7 linked regions of the Canis lupus familiaris genome follow. The main gene of each other region encodes a partner of the protein of the gene in region 6 in a complex. Links are inferred from orthologs where the notes say so. Each region holds a gene or a part of one and is shown on either strand. Other genes may lie near its edges. The genes, in order: DHX16, BUD13, PPIL2, CWC22, CWC27, G-patch domain and KOW motifs-containing protein-like and RBM48.

Evidence for each region.
Region 1: G-patch domain and KOW motifs-containing protein-like (region 6) and DHX16 share a complex: the UniProt entries of both Homo sapiens proteins name them as parts of the minor spliceosome. The link is inferred for Canis lupus familiaris from reciprocal best matches to the Homo sapiens genes GPKOW and DHX16.
Region 2: G-patch domain and KOW motifs-containing protein-like (region 6) and BUD13 share a complex: the UniProt entries of both Homo sapiens proteins name them as parts of the minor spliceosome. The link is inferred for Canis lupus familiaris from reciprocal best matches to the Homo sapiens genes GPKOW and BUD13.
Region 3: G-patch domain and KOW motifs-containing protein-like (region 6) and PPIL2 share a complex: the UniProt entries of both Homo sapiens proteins name them as parts of the minor spliceosome. The link is inferred for Canis lupus familiaris from reciprocal best matches to the Homo sapiens genes GPKOW and PPIL2.
Region 4: G-patch domain and KOW motifs-containing protein-like (region 6) and CWC22 share a complex: the UniProt entries of both Homo sapiens proteins name them as parts of the minor spliceosome. The link is inferred for Canis lupus familiaris from reciprocal best matches to the Homo sapiens genes GPKOW and CWC22.
Region 5: G-patch domain and KOW motifs-containing protein-like (region 6) and CWC27 share a complex: the UniProt entries of both Homo sapiens proteins name them as parts of the minor spliceosome. The link is inferred for Canis lupus familiaris from reciprocal best matches to the Homo sapiens genes GPKOW and CWC27.
Region 7: G-patch domain and KOW motifs-containing protein-like (region 6) and RBM48 share a complex: the UniProt entries of both Homo sapiens proteins name them as parts of the minor spliceosome. The link is inferred for Canis lupus familiaris from reciprocal best matches to the Homo sapiens genes GPKOW and RBM48.

Annotation. Positions count from the first base shown.
Region 1 is NC_049233.1:603,068-606,790, forward strand, and holds part of DHX16 (pre-mRNA-splicing factor ATP-dependent RNA helicase DHX16), read right to left. Parts: intron 2,339-3,723; coding exon 2,128-2,338; intron 1,936-2,127; coding exon 1,837-1,935; intron 1,723-1,836; coding exon 1,570-1,722; intron 1-1,569. UniProt on the Homo sapiens protein: Required for pre-mRNA splicing as a component of the spliceosome. Contributes to pre-mRNA splicing after spliceosome formation and prior to the first transesterification reaction.
Region 2 is NC_049226.1:16,831,884-16,835,606, reverse strand, and holds part of BUD13 (BUD13 homolog), read right to left. Parts: coding exon 3,660-3,723; intron 2,109-3,659; coding exon 2,003-2,108; intron 1,644-2,002; coding exon 1,505-1,643; intron 1,188-1,504; coding exon 1,003-1,187; intron 766-1,002; coding exon 684-765; intron 1-683. UniProt on the Homo sapiens protein: Involved in pre-mRNA splicing as component of the activated spliceosome. As a component of the minor spliceosome, involved in the splicing of U12-type introns in pre-mRNAs.
Region 3 is NC_049247.1:31,132,302-31,135,452, reverse strand, and holds the end of PPIL2 (RING-type E3 ubiquitin-protein ligase PPIL2), read right to left. Parts: coding exon 3,139-3,151; intron 3,029-3,138; coding exon 3,022-3,028; intron 2,868-3,021; coding exon of another isoform or gene 2,857-2,867; coding exon 2,641-2,856; 3' UTR 644-2,640; downstream 1-643. UniProt on the Homo sapiens protein: Has a ubiquitin-protein ligase activity acting as an E3 ubiquitin protein ligase or as an ubiquitin-ubiquitin ligase promoting elongation of ubiquitin chains on substrates.
Region 4 is NC_049257.1:23,753,422-23,757,831, reverse strand, and holds the start of CWC22 (pre-mRNA-splicing factor CWC22 homolog), read left to right. Parts: upstream 1-1,406; 5' UTR 1,407-1,430; intron 1,431-1,442; exon of another isoform or gene 1,443-1,595; intron 1,596-2,793; exon of another isoform or gene 2,794-3,225; intron 3,226-3,314; exon of another isoform or gene 3,315-3,517; intron 3,518-3,523; exon of another isoform or gene 3,524-3,672; intron 3,673-4,410. UniProt on the Homo sapiens protein: Required for pre-mRNA splicing as component of the spliceosome. As a component of the minor spliceosome, involved in the splicing of U12-type introns in pre-mRNAs. Promotes exon-junction complex (EJC) assembly.
Region 5 is NC_049223.1:50,071,508-50,075,230, forward strand, and holds part of CWC27 (spliceosome-associated protein CWC27 homolog), read left to right. Parts: intron 1-3,561; coding exon 3,562-3,723. UniProt on the Homo sapiens protein: As part of the spliceosome, plays a role in pre-mRNA splicing. Probable inactive PPIase with no peptidyl-prolyl cis-trans isomerase activity. As a component of the minor spliceosome, involved in the splicing of U12-type introns in pre-mRNAs.
Region 6 is NC_049260.1:42,454,872-42,458,594, forward strand, and holds part of G-patch domain and KOW motifs-containing protein-like, read right to left. Parts: intron 2,859-3,723; coding exon 2,645-2,858; intron 2,216-2,644; coding exon 2,083-2,215; intron 1,441-2,082; coding exon 1,314-1,440; intron 1,110-1,313; coding exon 986-1,109; intron 895-985; coding exon 825-894; intron 39-824; coding exon 1-38. UniProt on the Homo sapiens protein: RNA-binding protein involved in pre-mRNA splicing. As a component of the minor spliceosome, involved in the splicing of U12-type introns in pre-mRNAs.
Region 7 is NC_049235.1:18,068,157-18,072,493, forward strand, and holds the start of RBM48 (RNA-binding protein 48), read left to right. Parts: upstream 1-1,393; 5' UTR 1,394-1,404; coding exon of another isoform or gene 1,405-1,438; coding exon 1,439-1,549; intron 1,550-1,621; exon of another isoform or gene 1,622-1,777; intron 1,778-2,568; coding exon 2,569-2,759; intron 2,760-4,337. UniProt on the Homo sapiens protein: As a component of the minor spliceosome, involved in the splicing of U12-type introns in pre-mRNAs.

The sequences.
Region 1 (3,723 bases), on a different chromosome or scaffold from region 6:
GGAGACCTCACCCACCAAGTTCCCTAGAAAGAGTAATCCTGAAGACTTGAGTAAAGAAGCAGGCACAGATAAGGGACAGGAGCAAAGAGGATTATTGCCTAATGTCAGAAGACAGGGACAAGGCCAGGAAGGGTTCAAGGAGAGAAGGAATGAAAAGAGACATAAGGGAATCCCTGGGTGGCTCAGCGGTTTAGCACCTGCCTTCAGCCCAGGGCATGACCCTGGAGACCCATGATCGAGGCCCACATTGGGCTTCCTGCATGGAGCCTGCTTCTCCCTCTGCCTGTGTCTCTCATGAATAAATAAATTTAAAAAAATAAAAATCTTAAAAAAAAAGAAAGAAAGAAAGAAAAAAAGAGACATAAGGCGGAAAGGAAATGGGAGGAGTTAAATTTTTTTTTTTAGAGATGGGAGAGGGAGTCCAGGTCCCTGCCTCCATCTTTCCCACTACCACTTTCACAATCTTCCTCAGCTAGGACTTCCTTCAATAGCCTCCTCATGTGTCTCCCTGCCTCTACTCCAAGTCCTGCTTACCTGGCATTCTTCTGGCACCCAGATTGTCCTTTAAAAATGTAAACCTGTCACATCACTAACACCATCCGTTGATGGCTTCCCATCCTACTGGAGAATTATATCCAAGCCCCTTAAGTCTCCAAGTGCTCTACCTTTCTGATCTCATCTCCAAGGACTACAGGCTCCGTCGTTCCACTCCTGCACAGTTGCTCCCTGGCTGGTCTGAGCACACTCCTCACTCGGGTCCTTTGCATGAGTGCCTTCCTTTGCTGGACACACTCCCTTCCCAGCTATCAGCCTGGCTCCCTCCCTCACTGGGTTCAGGCCTCAGCTTCCCTTTCACCTTCCCATACCCCAAGGAAACTACCTTCCTGACATTGCTCACTCCCAGCCTCCCTGGAGTCAGTCTCCTTTTCCCCCATGTTGGGCTATATCTCTCCACAGCATTGGTCACAAATCAGCATCAGGCATCTACGCGTCCACTGTCTCCTAATTTAAGTTAGACTGTCGGCTGTGAGGCTAGGGACTTTGTTCTGTTCATCACTGTATCTTCATGCCCAAGAAGAGTATCTGGCACATGGCAGGAGCTTGTTATACATTTGTTGGATGGAAGTTACGTCTTTGCTCAAAACCCAATCATCTAAAGTCAAAATGCTTCCAACTGCTATCAAAGGCCTTCCCTAATCTCAGTCCAGAATTGTTTTCACCACATGAACCTTCCCCTCAGCCTTTTGGATTACATTCTGACTTAAACATACCTTAAGCCTTACTCTGGTATTACCTACCTTTTTTTCCCTAAAGATCCAAATCAAATCCCACCTTTTGGCACCCTGAGGACTTCCCTTCTCCTCTGCATCTCCACATACTTACTAACTGGATCAAATATTTGCTGAATTCACCCTCTCTCTCCAGCTCTGGAGGCTAGGGATTGACTACAACTAAGCCTTGCAGCTGCAGCAGTGCCCAGGACATAGCCTGCATAGGGCAGGCACACACCCTCTTTTTCACTATTTGTGTGAACTATAGGGGTGAAGAATGTGGGCGTCTCCAACTGACCTTTCGTGCCCCCGGGGGTGTGGGCTGGAAGATACGGGCCTGCATGTCAGAAGGCAGGTTGGCATAAATGGGTAACACCAAGAGCTCCCGGATTTTGGAGCCCAGGCGGCGGCAGCGATCTTGGAGCATCTCACAGGCAGCCTCAATCTCCTCCTGGATTTGGGATGGGGAGAGCAGTACAGGTCCCAGAGTGACAGAAGGCCCACCTGCCAGCTCTGTTTTCCCCTGGGATACACACCTCATTGTCCCTTGCCCCATGTCTCACACCTGTCCTGTCAGGAACACCAGGATATCCCCAGGGGGCTGGGTCACATGGATCTGCAGCACAGACACCACACAAGCTTCTAGGTAGTCAGCCTCTGGAGCCTGGGGGTGAGGAGGAGAGGGTCACAGGAAGGCCATCTGTTCAAGAAACTTCCTCTTCTCCCAGCTCAATAATCAGTTTATCCCAGTTCTTCTTCAGACTCTCCATTTCCCCTTCCCTCCTTGGGACTACCTTCTCCAAAGGCCCAAGCTTTTCAGCCTCGCACTTCAGCCCATCCTCCCTGAGGGGAGCACCTTGGTATAGAAGATGTCAACTGGAAACCTGCGTCCAGGGATTCGGAAGACAGGAGCATCATCAAAGAAGGTGGAGAAACGGGCAGTGTCCAGTGTGGCTGAAGCCACCAAGACTTTCAGCTCAGGCCGGAAACGAGCAACATCCTTGATTAACCCGAAGAGAATGTCTGTGTGTAGGGTTCGTTCATGAGCTTCATCTACCATTACCACACTGGGGAAAGAACAAGAGAGCTGTGAGCCAGGAGAGCTGCCCAGGAGAGGACAACAGGATCCCCTGGACAAGGGCACAAAGGGAAAGCAAAGAGCCCAATGGTGAATATGGGAGGGGGGGTTCCAAAGAGAGGCCAATCACCCCAGTTAAGGAAGACTAATACAATGTTAAAGAAAGCCAAAAGAAAGAAAAGAAAAGAAAAGAAAAAAAAAAAAGAAAAGAAAAGAAAGAAAAGAAAAGAGAAAGGAAAGAAAGAAAGAAAGAAAGAAAGAAAGAAAGAAAGAAAGAAAGAAAGAAAGAAAGAAAGAAAGAAAAGAAAAGAAGGAAGGAAGGAAGGAAGGAAGGAAGGAAGGAAGGAAGGAAGGAAGGAAGGAAGGAAGGAAGGAAGAAGAAAGGAAAGAAAGAAAGGAAAGAAAGGAAAGAAAGGAAAGAAAGAAAGAAAGAAAGCCAAGGGCCCGCAGTCTGCAGTTTATCTCAGCCTGGACAGACAACAACGGCCAAGATCTGGAGGCTGAAAGCCAAGGCCAGGACAAGTCACATATGCTCTCTGGATCAGAGTCATGGATCTGTTAGACTCAACAGAAATAAGAGTTTCTGTTTTAAAGGGGGGGAAAAAAGTGAGAACAGGGCCTTTGGGAGTAAGGCTGGGCTCCCCAGGCTGGCTGAGAATGAACATACAGACCTGAAGCACCAGGATTTGCACAGCCCAGGAGCTCCTAGGCTTCCATGAGACTGCTGTTGTGCATGTCTCTTGGTCCTGCTGCATCCTTCTGGAGAGAGGAACCAGGTAAGCCTGTCTGTCTGTCTTTCTTTTCTTTCTCTCTCTCTCTCTCTCCGTCTCCTCTCTCTCTCTTTCTTTCTTTAGGTTTTATTTATTTATTCATGAGAAACAGAGAGAGAGGCAGAGACACAAGCAGAGGGAGAAACAGGCTCCCTCTGGGGAGCCCAATATGGAACTCAATCCTGGGACCTCAGGATCATGCCCTGAGCCAGAGGCAGTCGTTCAACCACTGAGGGACCCAGGTGTCCCCCAGTAGGCCTTTCTACCCCAATCTTAGAGGGCTCTGCGGGCTTCTTGGTCTCCTCCTTAGTTATATGTGGGACACATCTTTGATATCTTTGCTAAAGTCTTTGGATTCTCAGGTGACAGCCATGCCTGCAGGAGCTCACCCCTGACCTCAATTCTTTGTGCGTATCCCTGACTATGCCAGTGAAGTCCCCAGCTGTTTCACAAAGCAGGCTGGCTTGACAGGAAAACCGCACACCCTAAACACTCTTGCACTAGCTGGCCTTCCATGGTTTCTGAGATTTTTGCAAGGGATGTGAAAGCTCAGATCATATTTGTCCTGTTGCTCCATCTGTGATCTTCTAGGACCAGAACTTCA
Region 2 (3,723 bases), on a different chromosome or scaffold from region 6:
TCAGTTTAATTTTGAATATGGTAAATATTAAAAGATGTATTCCACATAAACAGAAGTTTTTTGGGGTCCTTAGTAATTTTTAGAAGTAGAAAGGGCTCCTGAGGTCAAAAAGTTTGAGAATTATCATGCTAAATGCTAGAACAATGTCCTTTGTAGGCAAGAGGAGACGGACTCTAATGTATAAGGAGAGGGACAGACTTTGGATAGAAGCACATTTAGGTCATCATGTTAATAGACAGGAAGTTAGAGTATATGGGTAGATGCTGGTTGCAGAGGTCAGTGAGACCCTGTAAGTAGCTCACTCCTAAGGCAGTGAAGAGAAGGTTGAAGAACTACATTTTAAAGATACAACACACAAAAAAACTCCAGACTCCCATCCATCACTCATTCCCTCTAAACCTTAGAAAATATCACTAGAGGTGACCAATGTCAGAAACAAAGGGTATCCTATCAGCACCACCAGAGCAATTTGTCCAGAGCTTTATAAAGCTTTGAAAAGGAAAATAGGAGTAGTAGTATTCTGAGCATGGGAAATGGGATTTGGAGACCTTAAAAAAAGCAAACTACATGTTATTAACCTTGTGCTTAGAGTAGAGAGAGAGGGAGAGTAATTTAAGAACGGTTAGGGAAGATTAGGGGCAGATGGAAAAGAAAACAAAAATGTATGAAACATTCAGGCTTACCTGTCCACTCCATCCCAGCGATAACCAGGCCAGATATTGAATCTGTTGGGAGGAGGTGCAGGACCAGTGTAGCGAGGTCTCACTGGTGAGAGGAGAGAGAGAGAAAAGAAGTTAGTTACCTTATGTAACTCAATTCAGAACTGAGTGGCAGTGGGAACAAAAAATTTTACACCGAGATCTCTACTGAGCTGAACCCTAACTCCCAAATACAAGGAATCTAAAACTGTGTGGGAAAGCCTTCTCTCTGTCCAGCTATGTACCATCAGCCTAACGACCATCCCTCTTTACATAAGTCTCTGGTGAATCCCAAAAGGTTCACCTTTCTTATTCTTGTTCTCCTTGGCTTTATTCTTCTTGATAAAGTTGGCCATGGGGTCTCCCTCTCTTTCCTGTTCTCTCAGCATCCGATCCAGATCTTCATCATCAATATAACGGGCCAGCGGCTTCTGCATTTCCTTCACTGCATCCTCCACGTTTTGTTGTTGCTGCCGGCTCTGGACTAGCCTGGGCAAAAAGAACCAAGAGTGTCTGCTATCTAGTGTAACATTTCCCTTCTTACACTAAAATGGACCATATGACTACATTTGGAGCACCTCCTTTTTCTGACAGCACAAGCCAAATATTGAAAAGAGTAAAATTTCCAGAAAGCGAACTGAAAGTGTAGAATACATCAGTATTTTAGGAAGGAGACTGAGCACACCAAATTTTCCATTCCTGAAATGGCTCTGAAGGCAGAACAATGAACTAGTTGGTCAGGAAACTAGATAATGTCCTCTCCAGTCCTAGCACAGTCTTGTTCTTCACTTCGGCAGTTCTCTTACCCTTTTCCCCACCGAGCATACAGCTCATCTCTCTCCGAGTCCTTCTCTGCTTTTCTCCTTTGCTCTAAACGTTCCAGTTTCAAATTCCTCTTACGGCCAGACTTATCTCGAAATACAGTTTCAGCATACTGGAATTCAGCTGCAAAGGAAAATTCTACTTTTAAAGATAAACATCAGGTATCAAAATCAGAAACAATATTCTAACAGTTGAAATCAACCACTTGGGATTCCTTTTTTTTTTTTTTTAACCACTTGGGATTCTGATGCTGGATAAAAACTTTTGCAGCCAGACTACAAATAGCTCCTACCAATATCTAACTAACCTTTTTCAAGAATGAAAAGAATCACTTGGGCCTACTAAGAAGTTAAAATAATACATAAAACCAGAACTGAAATTTGATATCAATTAAAAGTTTAAAATATCAGGCACAATAAACTACATTAAAAAAATAAAATCTAAATGAGCCTCAATTAGTCTCTGAATTTTTACATTTTTACCTTCGAACGCCAGAGTTTCTTGGTCCCGTTTCTTGAGCTCCTGCTGCTCTTGCTGTATGTCAGTTAACACCAACCCAGTTTTAGCCCCAGAATACATGTGTGTAGCCTATGCAATAGAAAGGGGAGCATGCGACATTAATGAGACAATGTAGCAGTAGGCTCCAGGGTATACACAGTTAGATGCATTTTTGCCTGATAATTAGCAATAACCAAACCAAACACTGTAGCTTTGTATTCTCATTATTGACCACAAGATTCACAAAATAAAAAAGAATAAAGCTGAATTTGGTGGCAAATTAACAGTACTATTAAGTTTTAAGAATAAACAGAAACACAAACTAAGAAAATATTAAAGAAAAGGCACAGCATCTATATTTCTGACTTTTTAATATATAAACTGCACACATGAAGATACATTTTCAAATCACCTGATTGAAACCTGTATCAAGCTCTAAGCCCTCCAGTAGAGACATACACTGATAAAATATTCCATTTCAACTACATATTCAAGCAAATCTAAGGTCCTTCAATTGTGGATACATTTCAGGATAATGACAAGTTATGACCAAATCAAACCTTTTTATTAAATTCCATTTCATATCAAGATAACCAACCGACCCATAAACGGAGTATACAGAGTATCCAGTGCAACATATAAACCTGATTAGCATAAAATTGTCCATGAAAGAAACAGATGCCTAAAATGCAATGGGTCCAGTTTCAACACAAACCTCACTTTGTTCCCCAAAAGAGAAGAGCCCCACTTCCTGAGTCAGGGACAGGCTACAAGAATAATGTGGGTGACAGAGAAGACTTACCTGGAAAAGTCTGGGTTGGACGGAAATGTGCATATTGCAGACTCTATTACTGTTCATTTTTTTCTATTACTATTTCTTAACCAACCCACTGGAATAAGATTCTTTTCCTAGCACCAGTGTGCTTTGCAAAACAAAAAAGAGTTCATGTGGATGATCTGGGCAATTCATGCTTCATCATAGATTTAAAATAAAACAAAACACTGACTTCCCAGGTGATATGATTTCTAAAAGTCATTTTATATTTTAAACACCTCTCTTTATGCTCTGGATATAGAGACCTGTAGTCCAATTTATAATAATAAATTGCTTGTGCTAATGTCTCACTTTGTCCTGGGCACTTGTAAGATACACTTACACATTTAACTCACAATAACCTCATGAAGTACATACTACCATTATCCATGTTTTACAGATGAAGCTGGAGCTTAGAGATATTCCACAGCTTGTTCAAATCTCACACAGTAAGTTGAAGAAGTAGGATTTGAATATCCAACACAAGGCTTGTACTCCAAATTCTACTCTGTAAACTATAGTTCTTAGTTCATTCATAAGAAAATAGAAAGTTTTTCTGGACTTTTTAAAAATTGAGATTTGTGGAATTAAGAGAATAGAAAGACAGAAGGTACTTAGGAAACCTGGTGTTTGCAAGTTCTTCTGGGCTGGGTTACAGTCAGTCTGGCCTGCAGAGAGAAGCAAAGAGCTCTAGAGGTAACTGCACTAGATCTACTATACTACCAGGAACTACCTCCTCCCTCTCTGGTTTATGTATTGGAGACATGTACAAAGCTAGAAAACAGGAGTCACTCTAAGAGAAGGACACGGCTCTTGAAAAACTCTACCTTCTTTCCTAGAGGCTGACTCCTTCGAGGTGGAGACAGATCAGAATCAGAAGATTTGACCTTC
Region 3 (3,151 bases), on a different chromosome or scaffold from region 6:
CCGGAAACCGAGGGCGCTCCGAGGTCTTCTGAGCGAGCCGTGTACATACTGAACTCCTATTTAAAGCTTTTGTATGTTCTGGGCAAGTTTACTGCTCCTCTGATTTGAGCACTTTGGTTTTTGTATTGTCTTTTGTGATGGCATTGAAACATTTTTACCAGTGGTCTTAGGCCTTCTTTTGTACTTTTTGGTTTTTTTTGTTTTTGGTAACTGATACCAACGAAAACTCAACACTTTTTTTGTTGTTGGTCTTCCGAAAAATCAAAATCGAAGCTCCTTTCGAAACCAAATGAACAGACCGTGAGCTGGCTCCAGGGAAGGACATTCTCGAGACCACAACCAGATATGCTGGTGGAGTGTTGGAATGTTCCACCCTTTTAAATCCCTAAACAGTAAATATCATCCTGTGTCTTTTATTTAAATTATTTAAAGTATTTTTGTCCTTGAAGAATGGGGAGGGGATGCCAGGACCATAAATGCATTTAACTTAAAACTATGTAGTGTTTTCTGGCGCAGCACATCTGCTTTAGAAGCGTGGTTTAGTTTTGTTGCCGTTTTATATCTACATATATATATAGTATTTTTGTACCTTAACACTTATTCTTGATGGCATCTGTCAGATACTAGGCGAGATCAGACATGGGAATTTTTCCAAAAGTCCTTTAATTTACCTGGTGACCTCACCAGGTACTTACAAAATCTGAGTGGTTTTAATATCTAGAAAACTAAATTCCAGAACAACCTACAGAAATGTAAACCCTTGTTTGTCAAAGACCCTTGGGTGGATCTGCAGCCAGGGTGGCCCGGGCCTGCCTGGGGCCAGGTGAGTGTGGCCACTGGGCGCAGCTGGAGGGACGGACAGATGGACAGCAGTCCGAAGGTTTGCCCCTTTGAGCAGGACTGCCAAGCTCACGTGCACAAGCCTCCTTCAGCCTCCATGTCCAGCCCTCCGTCCTCTGTGTCTGTGTGAGGTTGAACAATAAAGCTTCCAATGTCAGACCTGTCCTTCTCAGTCGCACGTCCTGTCCCGGGCACTCTGCTCTCGGCCGACAGCCCCGGCTTCCTGCTGGGAGTGTTGGGTCAGGGTCTCCGAGCTCCTGTGGTGGCTCTGGTCTGGTCACCTGGGCTCCCCCTCCCCCAAAGGCTGCAGGGGAAGCCTTCTGGGACACCCCCTCTCCAGGGCCTCTGCCCGCACCCAGAGCCACCAGCAACTACTTGGTGGCCTGCAAGTGTGTTCACTTGGCTGTCACCACACGCAGCCCTCTCCTCCTGGGTGAACCCGGATCTTGGAGGCATTTTGGGCACAGACACTGGGACACAAGCGTTTCACCAGCTATCAGATGTCTGGATGTAGCCGGGAGGGGTCGTGATGAGGTTGTGAAGAAGAGGGCCAGGCCTGGCCATGGGCACAGAGGGCTGAGTGGTCACCGTAGAGCCCCAGGCCCTGGCTGCACTCACAGGCAGGGTATGCAGAGGGCACGGTGCGTGGGGGGCACAGACCTTGTTCTCACACGGAGGCGAGCCACTGACTGCTGGGAAGCAAAATGCCAACAGGCTGACGAGCTCTGGGAAGGTGACCCAGATGGCATCTGTGTGGGTGTGTGCAAGGGACTTGAACAGAGGCAGGTGAGACAAGGCGTGGGTCTGGGGTTTCAGCATCCAAGATGGGAAAAAGCAGAGCCCAGGTAAATTCTGGAGCCACTACTGACACTCACTGATGGATCTGAGGTTTGGGCGAGGGGAAGAACCGGGGACAGAGCCTCAGAACGATAGTGTGACAAGCTGGAGGGGGTTGTGGCCTATGCTGACTCGAGGACTAGGTCTTGGGAGTGGGGGTGAGGGGTGGACAGCTATCCCCACGCTCCTGTAGAGGTGCTTTGGGAAGGCCGAGGTAGTGGTGTCAGTGTCGAGAACGTGGAAGCCACGCAGGCACACGCTCCAGAATGAACAGTTAGTGAGAAAGGGCAGGCAAGCAAGTGCTAAGTTTTTTTTTTAAGACATAGAAAAATAAAAAGGGAAGGGATTTTTTAAGTCCAGAAACGCTGGTGAGGCTGGTCTGGAAGCCCTAGTGCTAGGGCAAGGGGTCAAGTGTTTGAGCCAAGGAGGGACCCTGAGGGTGGAAGGGGGGTCACGCCAGCTGGGCAGGGCCTTCGGCGCATCCATCAGTAGCAGCAGGAACCGGAGAGCTGCTCCACGGGCGCTCCTGTGCCTGTCCTGAGGCAGAGAGGCAGGAAGTCCTGGGTGCAGCCCGCACCTGGGCTGGCCAGAGCAGGCCCACGGGGAACATGGCTGTGACCACCCAGAGTCCCTGCTGGGTGGGTGGCCAGGCCCCAGTGAGTCCAGGCAAGAGGCAGCAGAAGAGGTTTTAGAAACTAATGGCAAGGCTCCCATGCAGGGTCCTCAAGCCACTGGCAGCGAGAGCCCCCCAAGGTGTGTCAGCAGAGCGCAGAGCCTGCCCCGAGTCCCCAGATCGGAAGGTCCGGGGTTTGCGATTCTGTGTGTGTAACCAGGTCCCAGGTGATACACTGAGTACAGTCCCTGAGACGACGACAGCCGGGGTGGGGGAGGGTGGGAAAGCCAGAGTCGGGGGCCCTCCTCGCCCACACTGCTGGCTGGTCTGCGGGCCACAGGAAGGGGGCCTCAGGCAACAAGCAAGAGCTTTAGCGAGGTGTCGTCAGACGGGCAGGTGACGAGGCAGGAAACACGGGGTTGTGGACACAGGCCCCCGGCCCCCAGTCCCCCCCGGGGATCCAGAGGGGCAGACCTGCTGCTACCATGAGCTGAAGTCCCCAAAGCCTCGGCTGGGCTTCTTCTTGGCCACAGGCACAGCTGTACTGGTTGAGGGCTCTTCCTCTGCTACACGTTTCCTGGAAAGAGAAGGATCAGTTCCTCGAGCTGGAGGCCCACGCCCGCCCACGCCCTCCCACGCCCTCCCACAGCACCTGCTGCATGTGACGTCACAGCCACGCAGTCCCCACCCAAGTCCTCAATCTCCAGCCTGCACGGTGGCCCCCAGGACACCTGCTCACTGCTCAGCCCCGAAGCCTGGTGCTCCCCCGCCACTGGCACATTGTGGCCTGTGGGCCTTGGGAAGCCTGGAGAGCACCGTGCAAACGGCCAGCCCCGCGCTGCACTCACGTGGCTGCTGGGT
Region 4 (4,410 bases), on a different chromosome or scaffold from region 6:
AACATTCCTACCTCTGTCGAAAATTGTAGAGGTGGTAGTGTGCTTTTTTTTCAGATATGGATATAAATGTTTACCAGATTCCTCTCCTATGCCCTGTATCTATTCGCTTAAATATTTAAAGACACTAAAAAGTACCTTTAACTATGGTCAAATATCTTAAATATGAAAAAGAATAGCTAATACTGTGGGACGCCTGGGTGGCTGAGCAGTTCAGCGTCTACCTTTGAATCAGGGCGTGACCCCCAGGTCCTGGGATCGAGTCCCACATTGGGCTCCCCACAGGGAGCCTGATTCTCCCTCTCCCTCTGTCTCTGTGTCTCTAATAAATAAATAAATAATTAAATAAATAAAATCTTTAAAAAAATAGGTAATACTGCTATGTGGTAGGAATTATATCACATACATCAAGTTGTATCAACTAATTCACTTCTTAAATTCACAACTTAATCCACAACTATTAACTTCTTAAAAGTATCCTATGGGGTGGGTACTAATATTTTCCCCAATTTAACAGACAATGGGCACACGGTGTTAAGTAATCTGCCCAAGAAAAATCATCCAGGGGTATTTCGATAGATTCAAGAGCTAAATCTGCTCCAGTGTCTTTTATCTGTAATCACTACACTCTGCTGCCTCAAAGAAAGGGTTAGTAGCATGATTACTCTAAAATTCTAATAGAAAAAAATGTTTGGGGAAACCAGGCCTGCTATATAGAGAAGGTTGGGGAACATGACGGATACAGTTGCTTTATGAAAAGATAGTTTCCAAAACAGTAGCAAGTAGTTGAACTTCTGGGTTTTGTTACTATTAAGTAAAGAATAAAAAAACTGTTCCACTGATTACCTCTGATCTCTGCATAGTCTGCTATTTCCAAGTTGGCCAATCTCCTTATCCTGAGGATGTCCTGCCAGCTGGTACCTTAAACTCAAATAGATGCATCCTCTTCTCCACAAAATTAGCTTCTCATTACTTCATTTTGTGGTCCAATATCCTCCCATTCCCGTAGGCTTGAAATCTTGGAACTTAGTAGGCACTTAAGGCTTCAGGACATTTTTGCTTATATAGGTTCTTTATATAACTACTGAAAAAAATCTGGAAAAGGCGTCTGCCCTTCTTAAAATTTTTCACGGATAAGTGACTGCCAAGGCCTATTTTTGCCAACTGCAGAGAAAGAGCTTTGGAGTAAATTTTGCCCAAGCCTCATCACTACCAGGCTTCAGACGAGCCGCCAAGGATTCTCCGCCGCCTACGCAGAAGAACTACAATTCCCGCCGTACATTGCGACTCTCTCTCAGCCTGAATTACAATTGTTACGTCACTTCCGTCCTCACCGGCGGCGGACGCCGGACTTTGTAGTTTTAAACCAACTTCTCTTTTGTCGCCGTCTTGGAAAGAGAAAAATTGAGTCCGGACCACCTGCTCTAAATCTGGTATTACGAGAGGGTATTTAAAAAGTAAATTAGCAGGCTAGCATTATAAAGTGAATTTAGCGTCAGTTTTTTTTATCCATTTCACGTACCGCCTTCCTCGCACTGCCGGGCCGGGAAGGGGAAGTGACGCACATCCGGTGTAATGGCGGCGCGGTGGCGCTCCAGGTAACTACCGGACTCCGTGGACTCGCCTCAGGCGGCGAGCCGGGGTGGGGGTGCGGGCTGCCGGGCCGGGTGGGCCCCGCAGCGGGGAGCAGGTGTGGGGGCCGTGGGACGGCCGCGGGCAGCGCCGGGGGTGCGCGGCTCCCCTTCCGGAGCCCGCCGGCCCGCGAGGCCGCGGCGGGAGAGCTGCTCGGCGGCGGAGTCTGCGCGGGTGGGAGGCTGCGTCCCCGCGGACCGACTTAGGTTGGGGGGCGGGGTGTGCACGGGGGGACCTCGCCGTGTCCCCGCGCGGACGGACCTAGCTCCCGGGGGGGGGGGGGGGGGTGCCCGGAGGTCCTCGCCGTGTCCCCGCGCGGACGGACCTAGCTCGGCGGGGGGGGGGGGGGGGGGGGGGTGCCCGGGAGGACCTCGCCGTGTCCCCGCGCGGAGGCACCTAGCTCCGGGGTAGGTGCCCGTGGCCCCCTGCACCGTGTCCCTGGCGTGGACGGACCTAGCTCCTGGGGGGGGGAGTGCACGGGAGGACCTCGCCGTGTCCCGGCAGTGGACGGACCTAGCTCGGGGGGTGGTGGTGCACGGGGAGGACCGCGCCGTGTCCCCGCGCGGACGGACCTAGCTCCCGGGGCGGGGGGGGCGGGAAGGGGTGCACGGGAGGTCTGCACCGTGTCCCGGCCTTGGACGGACCTAGCTCCCGGGGGGAAGGGGGGGTGCCCGGGGGGACCGCGCCGTGTCCCCGCGCGGACGTACCTAGCTCCCGGGTAGGTGCCCGTGGCCCCCTGCACCGTGTCCCGGGCATGGACGGACCTAGCACCCGGGGGGGGGGGGGTGCCCGGGAGGACCTCGCCGTGTCCCGGGCGTGGACGGACCTAGCTCCTGGAGGGGGGGGTGCACGGGGAGGACCCCGCCGTGTCCCCGCGCGGACGGACCTAGCTCCCGGGGGGGGGGGGGGGGGGGGGGGGGGAGGGGTGCACGGGAGGCATGCACCGTGTCCCGGCCGTGGACGGACCTAGCTCGGGGGGGTGCCCGGGAGGACCTCGCCGTGTCCCCACCCAGAGGGACCTAGCTCCCGGGTAGGTGCCCGTGGCCCCCTGCACCGTATCCCGGGCGTGGACGGACCTAGCTCCCGGGTGGGTGCCCGGGGCCCCCTGCACCGTGTCCCGGCCGCGCCGCCGTCGCAGGGCCCGGACCCCGTGGAAGCGGGACTCCCCGCCTGTAGCTGCAAGTTCCTCTCTTCTGCCTCTTCGCAGCGTCGTAGCCCTGTTGCATAGCTTCTTCAGACTTCCATTAGTTGCTGCTCTTTTCATTCATTTGCCCCGTAAATGAAGAGGTTCCCTGGTGCTCATTCCTCATCCAGGGAGCTCGCGGTCCTCTTGGCTCCTTCCGCGCGTGGGTGTCCTTACTCCCCAGCGCGGGTCTCCTCGCGTGCGAGCCCCGGATCCTCCCCATACACCTGTACCGGTCGGCAGTGCAGTAGCTGGTTTCGCTGAGTCTGCCTGCAACAACCGCCTTCACTTATTTTGACTTGATGCTCGCAGCGACTTTTTAGGTGAACAGAAGGGGGAAAATGGAGAACGGATATGCCAGATGCCAGAGAGAAGTGATGGGACGCGTAGTAAGAGCCCCTTTACGTTTTTAGGTAACTGCAGACTATAGCGATAGCGGATGGAAAAACGAGATCTGGCCTTCAGAAAACCCGGTGAACCTGCTGCCTCCTTACCGCGTGTACATTTGTTTCAGGATCGCCAGTAAACTCGGGAGTTGACCTCGATTATCATCCAGCGGTGGAAAAGCGAATTTAGAATCGACATTAAAAAAAAGTGTGACTTTGTTCGCAGAGGCGTTGTGACAAGCAGCATCCGTAGGAGCAGGAGATGCTGGGTGATGGACTAGTAAGCCAAAGGTGCCCGTCCCGGCTCAGCACTGACTAGGTCTGTCCCTTGGGGCAGGTAACCTGACATCTCTAGTCTCAGCTTCTTCACCTGAAAAATGTGGGTGATGATATCTAACTTAGTGAGTTGTTTCAAGGATAAAGAAAAATCACGCATATTAGACCCTTGTGCACACCCAGCGCCTGGCGTGAAAGGTTAGTTAGCTCTTGTTACCGCTGTGATACAGTTGATGAGGTCTCTTGCCTCAGTGCTTTTCTTGTCCTTTGGTTTGGAATGTTGCCCTCGCACTTTTAAGCTCCTGTGCCACTTTCCTGGAGCATCTCCCACCCACTTCATTTGGCCGGCATCTGGTTAACTGCCCCCCCCCCCCCCCCCCCCCCGTGTTTGTCCGTTGCCAGGTAATCTACAGTAACTTGTACCTGAGACCGTCTAAGAGAGGACTCATTTATAACGCCGCTGAGACTTTATTTTCTGTTTATTACCCACATGTATCTAGACCGAGTTTTGTACGACCCGGTGTATCGCTAACTTGGTATAAGTTACGGCTGGTCTAGAGCAGGTTTAAGAAAGAGGTGGTTGTCGGTAATGTAGCTGATCCCACTGATGACCCTGTGGGCTTCTTTGTTGCATTTCTCTACCATTTAAATTTGAACATTTTAGCATGGGATGTGATAAAACAGACCTCAGGCATGTCAGTCTCCACAAACTTCTGGACTTACTAAATCTGTAGCCTAAGTATTTTATCTCAGCATATACATTTCCCAAGGGGGCATTGGAAGAGGTAATTCATTACCTACAACAAGTGCAAATTTTCAAAGCATTTTTCTTCAAAAATAGTAGATCAGGAGAGGAAGCAATAGATTAATGCAAACTTTTGCTATTTGTAGCTTAGTAAGTCAGAGAACAGATACCAAAAAGATGGTAAAGGCTGC
Region 5 (3,723 bases), on a different chromosome or scaffold from region 6:
ACTTTAATTTACGGCTTTCTGCGTTTTTTCAAATTTGTAGGAAAATCTGTTTCTCTTTGTGGACTTTGTGCTGTTGTTCACATGTCTAGAGTTCATTTCTTATACCAGAGCCAGCTAAATCCAATAGTTGCAAGATTCTCTCATGGGAGAGAAAGGAAGAAGGTGCCTATAAGGTTTTAATTGACAGGTTCTGGTAAAGTCATTTTTGAAATGTGGACAGTCCCTAATAGAAATGGATATTACAAAAAAAAAAAATCCATCTGCATTTTTGGAGAGAGCAATAATTTTTGAAATAGAAAAATGTGTATATAGAAAGCTATTAATAAGTTAACTAAAGACAGTGGTTTTGTTTTTTACTATCAGTACAGGAGTATTAAATAAAATTGTTTTAAAGGGCATGTTTCAGGTACTTCCTGGTTTCAAGCTACTTACCTGGGTTAGGTATCTGCACAAGAATCATTTATTTGCTAAACGCTTACTGAAATGCAGTGCAAGGTCTGTACTCCCCACAATGTGTGATAAAGGACCTTTAAAAGGACATCCTGCCATCCTTCTAAACTTGTTCCTCAGGAGGAGAAATACAATTCCTAAAAAGTATACTTTGTGGGAAATGCAGGACAGATTATAAGAAGTGTCAAAGAAAAAGACCACCTCTCCTTTACCTGAAACAAAAGGTTTAATTTATTAAGTAAGGAAGAGTTATGCTTTTAGGCACAGTCTCTGAGCAAAGTGGGTTGCAAATCTGACACAGAGTTTTGGGGTCAGGGATTATTAGGGGTTATCAGCCTCAGGAGCCCCATTATGCACCAGAGGCTCTCGGTGATTGGCCAGCTTTCAGAAATGTTTACTCGACAGTCCACCACTGATTGGCCAACTGATTAGTTGGCTTTCAGAGGTGTGTTTACTGAACTGAGTTGTCACTGATCCTTTAGGCCTAGGCAAATCATCATTAATTGATTAAATCCAGTTTGAGTACGTTTCAAACCAGTTCTAGTAGTCCCTGGTTACCACGAATGTAGAACAATCCGCCTTTTTCTAGGAGTTGGGATTGTTTTATTTTCAGAAGCTAACACTGCAGGAAATTCAAAGTGTAAGAAAGTCACACTTGAGGAATCTATTTAAATAAGCAACAATCCTATGTTGTACTTCCTTGAATACCCTACATCCTCCTCCCACAAAGAATCTACAAATTTATCCTACTAAATTGTATGATTATCCATGATAAAATTGGTGCTATTTATTCTGTTATCATAAGCTTAATTCAGAGCTCTTTTTTCCATTTCTTCCATTAAATGTATCTTATCATTTTCAAAGAAGATAGAAACAATTTAAAGTGGAAATTTAGGAAGCAAAGGCCTCAATATCACCATTCTTGAAATTACCTGTCCAGCATGGTTTTTCCACTGTCATTGCTATGGTAAGGAGGTAACTATACTTGCTGATTTTCTTTTTCTGTTGTTTTGCTTCTATTTTTCTTTCCTTCTTTGTTCCTCCCTTTCCTTTTCCCTTTCTTTCCTTTTTTCCTTCTTTCTTTCTTTCCTTCCCTCCCTCCCTCCCTCCCTTCCTTCCTTTTGGATATAGTTGCCATACAATGTTACATTAGATTTAGGTGTACAACATAGTGATTCAAGTATCTATACCTTACACTATGCTCACCACAAGTGTGGCTGCCATCTGTCATCATGCAACACTATTACAATATTGACTATATTCCTTATGCTGTGCCTTTTATTCCCATGACCTATTCATTCCATAAGTGGAAGCCTGTACGTCCCATGCCCCTTTACCCATGTGGCCCATCCTCCCACCCCTCCCCCCTCTTGGCAACCGTAAGTTTGTTCTCTGTATTTATAGGTCTGATTCTGTTTATTGATTTGTTTTGTTTTTTTAGATTCTACATCTAAGTGAAATAATACGGTATTTGTCATTGACTTATTTCAGTAAACATAACACCCTCTAGGTCCACCCATACGGTAAATGGCAAGATCTCATATGATGCCTTTTTCTGAATAAAGATACTCACTCAAGCAAAAGAAGTGTAAGGATTCAGCAGTTCTTACAGGTGATATGGCATGTTCACATTGAACATTAGTTATTGAAATTAGTTATGAAATTTAATGCAAATTACATATTAGTGATATAGAAATAAAGCACAAAAAGTATAGAAAATAAAGATAATAATAAAGTATAGAAATGTGAATGTGATTTACTTCATTTAGTAAGTTAAAGTAGACTCTAGGTCATCCATATAATAATATCACTTGTACTAACTGCAAGCTTTTCTGGGATAGAAGGGATGGGAATGATAGTTAAGGCTCAACTTGTTAGCCCTTGAGAACAGTAGCTACTGAATCCTTAGTAACTTCAGTATCATTAATACTATAACATTTTATTTGTCACCAAAATGTTTTCTTCAAAATCTGAATATATCCGTGAGAGTTTTTCACATAAGTAAGCTTCACTCAGCATTTCTGCTACTGCAGGGAAAAGGGATGGGGGACTTGTACCTACTGCCCAAATCCCTGCTTATTCAGGGAAAAAGAAATTAATGTAATATTTGGGTTTCATGTGAAAGTTACAGCGGGTGTATGGGGAGTGTTAATCCTATAGGCAATTTAGCCCTATCAGCTGTGATAAAAGTGTTGGGTATGCCCACTTTAAAAGTGCTTAAATAACAAGTGGGAAAAGCTTTAGTAGTTTTGTTTATATATCGAAACTGACTTTTCTCTTTCCAAATTCATTCAGTTGCTCTGAAATCTGGTCTTTGACTTCCCCATTTATTTCTGACACCTCCTAATGGGGGCAGAGCTAATCACTTACATATTTCCCTGCTGCTAAGGATAGCCAGCTTATGACCACTTAGGACTCAAGCACATGTTGATACCTTAAGACCAGTAAGCATTTGATAAAGTGGGAAAAGCAGGATGGTTAAATTTGTTGTAATCAACAGTAAGAGGAGGAAATTAGTCCATGGAGCTATGCCAAAGCTTAGTTTCCTTTTGCACAAAAAAAAAAAAAAAAAAATCATTTTTTGTTTTTAACCCTGCAGCTCCCCTGAAAAGGCAGTCATAACATCATTTGAACAAGAATTTTCTTAACACATTCCTGAATCTTGACCCCTTTAACTACTGAAAACAGAAAGATCAGATAGGGCTGGTTTATTGTCAGGAGTTCTGCTCTGCCGCCCTGCCCTCTCTGGCTAAGTGAGCCTGCTCTTTATTTAAAGGAAGCTGGCAAAATGTTCTCTGAGTTTAGGTGAAGGAACATTCTGCTACAATTCCTTTAACCTCCCATCAGGAAAGGACCTTCAAGTGAAGACTGAGGCAAAGAGACTCTTTACTAAAAAATACAAACCAACAGAACAAACTCCAGACACGTTTTTCAAATTTAAGTGTCTTCTGAGAAGGTGGTTTCCATGCGGTGTAAGCACCAATAAACAACAAGCGCATGTTGGTGTCCTGTACCCTATGGTGCGTTATGCCAAGGACAGTATAGTATAAAACGTCTACTTTCTGTTCTCCTGCCAAAATCACTGAACCATCCATCTCTCTCCCTCTTCAGGATGTCGCATGTACTTCAGTTTGAGGATAAAAGCAGAAAAGTGAAGGATGCAAGCATGCAAGATTCAGACACATTTGAAATCTATGATCCTCGGAATCCAGTGAATAAGAGAAGACGAGAAGAAAGCAAAAAGCTGATGAGAGAGAAAAAAGAGAGAAGATA
Region 6 (3,723 bases):
CTTGGGGACCAGGGTCTCCAGCATGTTTTCCTTCAGGCCTGCAGATGAGGAAAGGGGAGTGAGGCCCATGGCCAGGGCCAGCCCACCCAGGTCCTGTCAGAAAGCCTTTCCTGTATGCCTCAGAGCCATCCTGCACCCTGTTGACAGGTGGGAGTCCCCCTGCCCCACTCCAGCTCACAGGTGAGGACACCTAAGGAGCAGTTCCTAGAAATAACTATAATAGGGCACCAGGTGGCTTAGTCAGTTAAGCGTCTGCCTTAGGCTCAGGTCATGATCCCAGGGTCCTGGGATCAAGTCCCACATCAGGCTCCCTGTTTGGCAGGGAGTCTGGTTCTCCCTCTCCCTGCCACTCCCCGGGCTTGTGTGTATGCTCTCTCTCTGTCAAATAAATAAATAAAATCTTGGGAAAAAAAAGAAGAAAGAACTATGAAAAAAGGAGCACTTATGCACGAAAATGATGGGTGATGACAACAGATACCGTTTATTGTGTGCACGTCATATGCCCTGCCCTGCACGGGGAGTTCAGTACACATCTGTACAAGGCCCAGTCCCCAGAGGGAGAAATAGCTCATTTCTATGCCAGTGTGCACAGGGGGAAAGAGCAGCTTAGATAATCACCATCACAGGGGGAAAGAGCAGCTTAGATAATCACCATCACAGAAGTGCCTCGTATTCTGTCAAAAGATTCTGGGCTGTGCAAAATGCCTGAACTCTGCCTAACCTTCCAGCCTTTGCCTGCACCAGCCTCTTGGGTCGAAGACAGCCTTCCTATTCAGCCTCTAGGATGGATGATTAAAACCCCAGTGGCCATCCCTCAGACTCACCTTCCAGAATCCGGCCTTCATCTGTTCGACACACACAGGTATCTGGGCTGAGGACATCTTCAATGGTCATCTGGAGAAAGGGTCACGGGATGTGAGAGTGTTACAGTTATGGGGGCCTAGTTCCGGGGGGGTGGGGGAAAGCCAGGCTGCAGGGTTCCCACCTTGGTGTTGTAATACTGGCCACCTTTGTGCTGCCTGTCCACAAAGCGCACACGCAGGTCCCTGTGCAACCAGTGCTGGCTCTGGGGACCTGCCTTCTCATTCTTGGCTGCGGGCTCCCCCTGTCTGCGGAAAGGGCCAACACAGGCTTAGCTGATGAGACACGTTCTGGTCACCCCACAGTTGGCTGCTGTGAAACCCACCCCTGATGCCCTGATGTCATCCCTAGTTCCTTCTATGTGCCTGCCTTGCCCGGGAAGCCTTCTCTGACTGCTAGAATCCCTCCACAGCCTTGCCTTCTCCCCCAACCCCAGATGCCCAGGGTCCCACCGGTCGGGAAGGTGTTTCCGCTTCCTCTCTGAGTCCTCCCGCCAGCTGGGGAGGTCCTGATCCCGGAGGGCCTTCCATGATGAGGCTGTTCCATTCTGTTGCCCTGGGGAAGTTTTGTTCATCTGGCCTGTGCAAGGGTGTATGGGGAGAACCAGGAAGGAGCCTCAGTGTGAGCCTCTTACCTGGCAGGCTACACCTTGGCCTCAGGCCACCTCCCACCTGCCTCAATGTCCCCTCCCACCATCACAACTTTGCCTATGCCATCAGAATGCTCTCCCCTTCCCCTCAACTGCTGGGGCTTCCTTCAGGAAGGCTTCCTCAGCCACTCCAAGGTGGGCTAGGGAATCCTGAGAGCTCCATCAGCACCAATATCTCATCTGTCAAACCGCCCCATCCTGCTGCCATGCCTAGAATGCCTTTCTCCTTGGGCATGGCCTAGTCCCGGCTGCCCTCACACCCAGAAGAAGAGAGGCTCATCACCTAGAACAGACAGAGACCTCCTGAGGATAGGAATAGGTTTCCACACCTGTTTTTTCTCTGAGAGGCTAAAGCCCCAGGGTTACTAGATCAGTTTTTCTTCAAACCGAATAAACCACTGATCTTCATTCTCACCTCCTGGATTCTGACCAGAAGTCACATCTGCCTGACAGACCACTGCCCCTCCCCTCTGCAGATCTGACACCCACCCAGCCTCACCCCCAGGTACAGGCCCCTACTGCCCCCTGGAATGTTTCTCCAACTCTCCCAGCTAGGTAAGAGGCACACTCACTGAGATCCAAGGTGTTCTTGTCAAACTCATGCTGGGAGACAGGGCGCAGGCAGTACTCACTAACAGTAACCATGCGGTTCCCCACGGCCAGGCGAACCATGGCCCGAACATTGTCAGGATCGAGGCCTTCTACCTGAAGCGTTGGGGAGGACGAAGTTAGGCAGGGTCTGAGTGGACTAAACTCACATTCCTAGGACCGAACTGTCCAGTCTTACCTCCTATAAGCCTGACCCCTGTGTCTCCCCCACCAGACTGACCCAAGGCCTGGGCCTGGGCCTGGTTCATGTGTTTCCCCTACCAGACTGTGTGGCTTGGATATATTTTAAAGAACTTAAGCCTCAGGAACATTTGGCACATATGGCCATTCTCTCTTTTAGTTGTAAACTGAGACTCAGGCCCAGCAAGTGGTTCTGAGTTACCAAATGAGGTAGCAAGCCAGGCAGGCCTGAAAGACAAGGACTTCCAGCCTTTCCACCCTAAGCCCAATTCTTCCTCCCTCTGACCCTCACATCAAACTTCCCCGCTGCCTGTCTTGGGCTCTAGGCATAGCTTGGTTCCTTACCTTCCCATAGAGGCCTCGGTGAGGGCCAGAAAGAACCACCACAGCTCCTCCAGGCACCAGTCCTTGAGGCTGGTCTTCCTTAGCCTTCTCTTGCTCTTCATCTGGCTTTGGCAGGTGGTGGGGGCCAGTGGGGACTAGGGCCTGGACCTCATTCAGGTTGGCACCCAGCCCTAACCCCTTCGGCCTCAGTAAGTTGAGACGGGGCTTCACCACTCTGCAGGCAACACAGTATATGAGCTTATTGGGCTGGGGAGGGGAGGAATGCAAGTCTTCAGTGTCCCCTCACAGCCATCCAAATCCCACCCCATCAACATGCTCAAGAATATCCTTCCCGATCTCACATTAGGACTGTTTTTTTTTTTAAGATTTTATTTTATTCATGAGAGACACAGAGAGAGCAAGAGAGGCAGAGACACAGGCAGAGGGAGAAGCAGGCTCTATGCAAGGAGCCCGACGTGGGACTCGATCCTGGGTCTCCAGGATCACACCCCGGGCTGAAGGCGGCGCTAGAAACTACTGAGCCACCCAGGGATCCCAGGACTGTTTTTGATCTACAGAAAAGCAATTTCGTTTGGTCCAACCTAATAACACACTGGGTATACCATCTATTACATATTATTTACAGCAGGATCTGAGGCAGATCTCTGTGATTTTGATTATAATACCCTAATATTTCTACAGGGGAAATCATACAAATATTCACACCAAATAGGAGGAACAGACTATAAAATGCTCTGTGTCAATTCAGGTCATGTGTGGCTACTAAATGGTTTATGAAAAAATGTTTGAAAAAAAATATTTGGTTTTCAGAATTCTTTGGAGTTCAGAAAACTGAGAAGGGATCAAAAGTCTGTGTGATAATAGCAAATGTTTCATCTATGTTTATTTTGGGCCAGGGCCTGCTATAAGTGCTTTATGTACATAATTTCATGTAATTCTGCAACAGATATGGGAAGTCAGTATTGTCACTACCCTCATTTTTCAGATGAGGAAGCTAATGCTCAGAAAGGTAACCCCGTACAGAAGGGATCCCGTTACAGAGTTTCAAAAAGCAAACAGGAGGGATGCCTGTGTGGCTC
Region 7 (4,337 bases), on a different chromosome or scaffold from region 6:
ACACATTAGCTCCCAATTCATGACTTCCTGCTTTAATAATTCACCTATGCCTTCTAGTCCAATAATTCTAGGGGGGGGGGGAATAATCTAGAAAAAAACAGTTCCAGAGAAGTAAGATGGAAAGGTCGGGTACTTAAAACTATTGGAAACTCTTAAATATCCCCCTCATGATGAGCCAGTTGTGGGTACCATGCATTCAGGATTTCTGAGGATTTCAAAGATCCCATCCCTTTGCCTGCATAAACACAGACTCACAGACTACAGGTCTCTATCTCTAGCTATGAAAATGCGGATGCTGTATTTCTGCCAGTAATTAATAAAAAAAGGACGACTGACGGCAGAGGCTCAAGTAATCCTACCTATGTACCTCCAGGTATGCAGAGTTCTACTGCACATCCCCGGCACACCCCGGACTGGGGGGAGCCTCTGGTTAGTGACCTACTCCGCATGGGGGCCGCGGTGCTCCGCTGTTAATCTACAGGGGCTCTGCAAACCCAACCCGCCCCTCCTTCTGGAGTCCAGGACGGCAGTCGTGCAGGGATCTGGAAATCACTGCCAAGAAAAACATTTTTCAAGATAAAAATAAAAATTAGCGACTTCCCAGGAGCTTTTCCAAACCGGAGTGAGGAATATTTCTGAATGCAGACGTAGACTTAGGATGTTTGTAAGCCCAGTCTCATGGAGTGAAAACACCTGGAACAGGGCAAGTTAAAGGCCCAGGGCTGCACGACCTGCCCCCGGCGGCCGTGCCCTCGAGGGGCCCTCAGTCCGGCCTCTGAACCGCTCGGCGGCGACGGCGGAAAGGCAGCCCTCGCCACGCCGCTCGGGGCGGGGGGCCTGAGGGTCGCCGCGTGCCTCCAAGGCCTCAGCCCCGTCCGCCCCCAGGCTGCTCCCAGGTGTCCCGAGTCTGGGCGGGGAGCCCCGTCCGCGGGCGGCGCGGTACCTGCAGCAGGTGCAGCTGGGCCACGAGGCGCCGCGGCAAGCGGAGGAAGCAGTCGCGAGCGTTGGTGAAGACGACAGTCGCCGCCACCCCACCCCCGTCTGCACCCGCCAGGCGGTCGCCGCCCCACATCGTCCGGCGCCGAAGACGCCCCCGCCGCGGCAGCCCGCTCCAGCCGACGCCCGCCGCGGGGCAGGCCGAGGCCGTCGGAGCCGGAGAAGATCGATCGGCCCCGCCCCCTGCGGCCCCGCCCCCTCGCCGCGCGCCCGTCCGAGGAGGGAGGGGCAAGCAAGCTTCCCCAGCAGTCCCGGGCCTCTCCGCCGCGCCGCCGGAGGGCGGCACCTCGCTCACCCAAGTCTCACTCGCCGGAAACGATGCGGGCCGCCGTCGGCTCTCCAGCCAATCCAGGCACGCCGTGGCCCATTCCCCTCCGTCATTGGGTGGGCGGGAGGGCGGCCCGGCGGATGTTGTCGTTTTGGCCGGAGCCAAGTAGGCAAGATGGCGTCGAGCGGCGGGGAGCTCGGGGGCGTATTCGATCACCACGTCCAGAGGGCCGTGTGCGACACGCGGGCCAAGTATCGGGAGGGGCGGCGGCCTCGCGCTGTCAAGGTAAAGTGACTTGGGTTTTCACTCGCTATCCTCGATAGCGTTATCATGCCCGGCTTGATAGATGAAGGCTTGAGGGGCTGCGGGCCTGCCCACCAGGCATCGGCGGTGGGACGAGAGGCCGGCGCTCAGTTACCAGACGTTCTCACGAACTCCTCGGCTACCTGCTAGAACGTCAGCTCCGCGGGGACGGGGCTCCGCTTTAGTCTTTGTATCTTCCGTGCTTACGTGGTAAGCGCTCAGTGAATCGTTCTCGCTCTCTCTCCAGTTAACTTCTCCTGAGCCAACTTCCGGAAAATATGTCCATTGAAGATACTCTGTGTTTTAATTAGAGGCCCTGACACGGAGGGGTGAATTTATTCTTTATTTTTTCTGCAGACCGGCTGAACAGAATGTTTCTTCTTTTCAGGGCTTTAAGTTTTTTGTTTTTTTTTTTAATTTTAATTCTAGTATAGTTAACCTACAGCGTTATATTAGTTTCAGGTGTACTATATGATAATTCAGCACCTCTGTACGTTATTTAGTGCTCATCATTGTAAATGTACTCTTTAATCCCCAGAGCTTTTTCTTCTTTTTTTTTAAATAGAAGATGTGTCTTAGGCTTATTTGGAAAATACATTTTTTAATTTAAATTCAGTTAGCCAACGTATAGTACACAGTGTCAGATGCAGATGTTCAATAGTTTATCAGTTAGGTACACCACCGAGTGCTCATAACATCATGTGCCCTCCTTAGTACCCATCACGGAATTACCCCATCCCCGCCCACCTCCTCTCCAGCAACCCTCAGTTTGTTTCCTAGAGTTAAGAGTCTCTCTTGGTGTTTCTCCCTCTCTGATGACTTCCCGTTCAGTTTTCCCTCCCTTAACTACGATCCTCTGCGCTCTTTCTTATATTCCATGTATTAGTGAACTGGAGAGTATTATGTTATTTGGTGAAATAAGTCAATCAGAGAAAGGCAGGTATCACATGGGTTCACTAATATGTGGAAAATACATTTTTATGTGTCTGCATTTCTTTTAGGTATATACAATCAATTTGGAATCTCGGTACTTGTTAATTCAAGGAGTTCCTGCGGTGGGAGCAATGAAGGAATTAGTTGAGCGATTTGCTCTATATGGTGCAATTGAACAGTATAACGCTTTAGATGAATACCCAGCAGAAGACTTTACGGAAGTTTATCTTATTAAATTTATGAATTTACAAAGTGCAAGGTAATGTGCAAGTTAAGCTTAAGTTTCATTTCCGCCATTCCCATTGCTAGCACATTGGTCCCAGTTGTCCCTCGTTCATACCTGAATTACTGAGTAACGCTGTATTATTTTAATCTTACTCCAGTCTTTTTTTTTTTTTTCTTTTTAAGATTTTACCCATTTATTCACGAGAGACACAGAGAGAGAGGTAGAGACACAGGCAGAGGGAGAAGCAGGCTCCCTGCAGGGAGCCGGACGTGGGACTTGATCCCAGGTCTCCAGGATCACGCCCTGGGCTGAAGGCAGGTGCTAAACCGCTGAGCCACCCAGGCTGCCCTATCTTAACTCCAGTCTTAAATGTCATTACCTTGCTTAACAATCTTCAGTCATATATTGTGGTAGATTACAAAATGGGTTTGGATAAGTTTTCGAACTTCACAGCTTACTAACATCGTGACTTTGGACAAGTCATTTAACCTCAACAAGCCTGTTTTTTCTAGTCTCTGAAATCTGTACAGTAAAAGGACCTACTTTGAGGGTTGTGTGAGGATGGTATGAAATAATCCATGTAAAGGGCTGAAACATAGTGCCTCCTGTTGAGAATGCAGTAAACATTAGCTATTGAAGTTCTTTTTTTTTTTTTTTTTTCTTTAAACTTGCTGGGATTTTTTTTTTTTTTAAAGATTTTATTTATTTATTCATGAGAGACACACAGAGAGAGAGAGAGGCAGAGACACAGGCAGAGGGAGAAGCAGGCTCCATGCAGGGAGCCCGACATGGGACTCAATCCTGGTCTCCAGCCGCTGAGCCACCTGGGCTGTCCGCTATTGAAGTTCTTAATGTTATGCACCTATGTGAATTGACTCAGTCTTTTCCTGCCTTCTGCATAAATTCTGTGCTTCAATAAGGGTGAAATGCCTCATCTAGTTTTATGTTTACCCCATTCTTGTCACTAATTTGCTCCAATATCCATCCTTTGGCTATTACCATTCATACTTCCTTTTTCTCTTTAAAAAAAAAAAAAAAAAAAAGATTTTAATTACTGTATCCCCAACATGCTCAAACTTACAGCACCAAGATCAAGCATCACATGGTCTACCGACTTAGTCAGTCAGGTGCCCCACCATTCACATTGTCTTTCCGTACTCCAAATAGCACTTGCAGTCTGCCACAAAAGCACTTGATTTTTATAGGGTTATGTATTGTTCTCAGTTTGCTCCCTTATGTGATCTCACTTCCCCTAACCAACTTCCCCTCATAGTTAGCGAAGCATATTTTCTAGAGTTTTTGCATCTCCCACAGCACATAATATGGTAGGTTGTGGAGTTCAGCATCTCAATTTGAATCATAACTCCACAAACTAGTGTGAGCATGGCTAAATTATAAATCTCCTGAGGCCTCCTTAGGTCCTCATAGGGTTTTATGAAATCTTAATTCAGGTGAAGTACTTAGGGCACTGCCTGGTGTGTGATAAAATCTCAATAAGTATTTCTATCATTATCCCTAGACACGCAAGTACTTAAATATTTATTGTAGTATAATGCTTAGCCAGTTACATATGTTTGATAAGTATTTGTTGAATATCATCATGTAACTTTC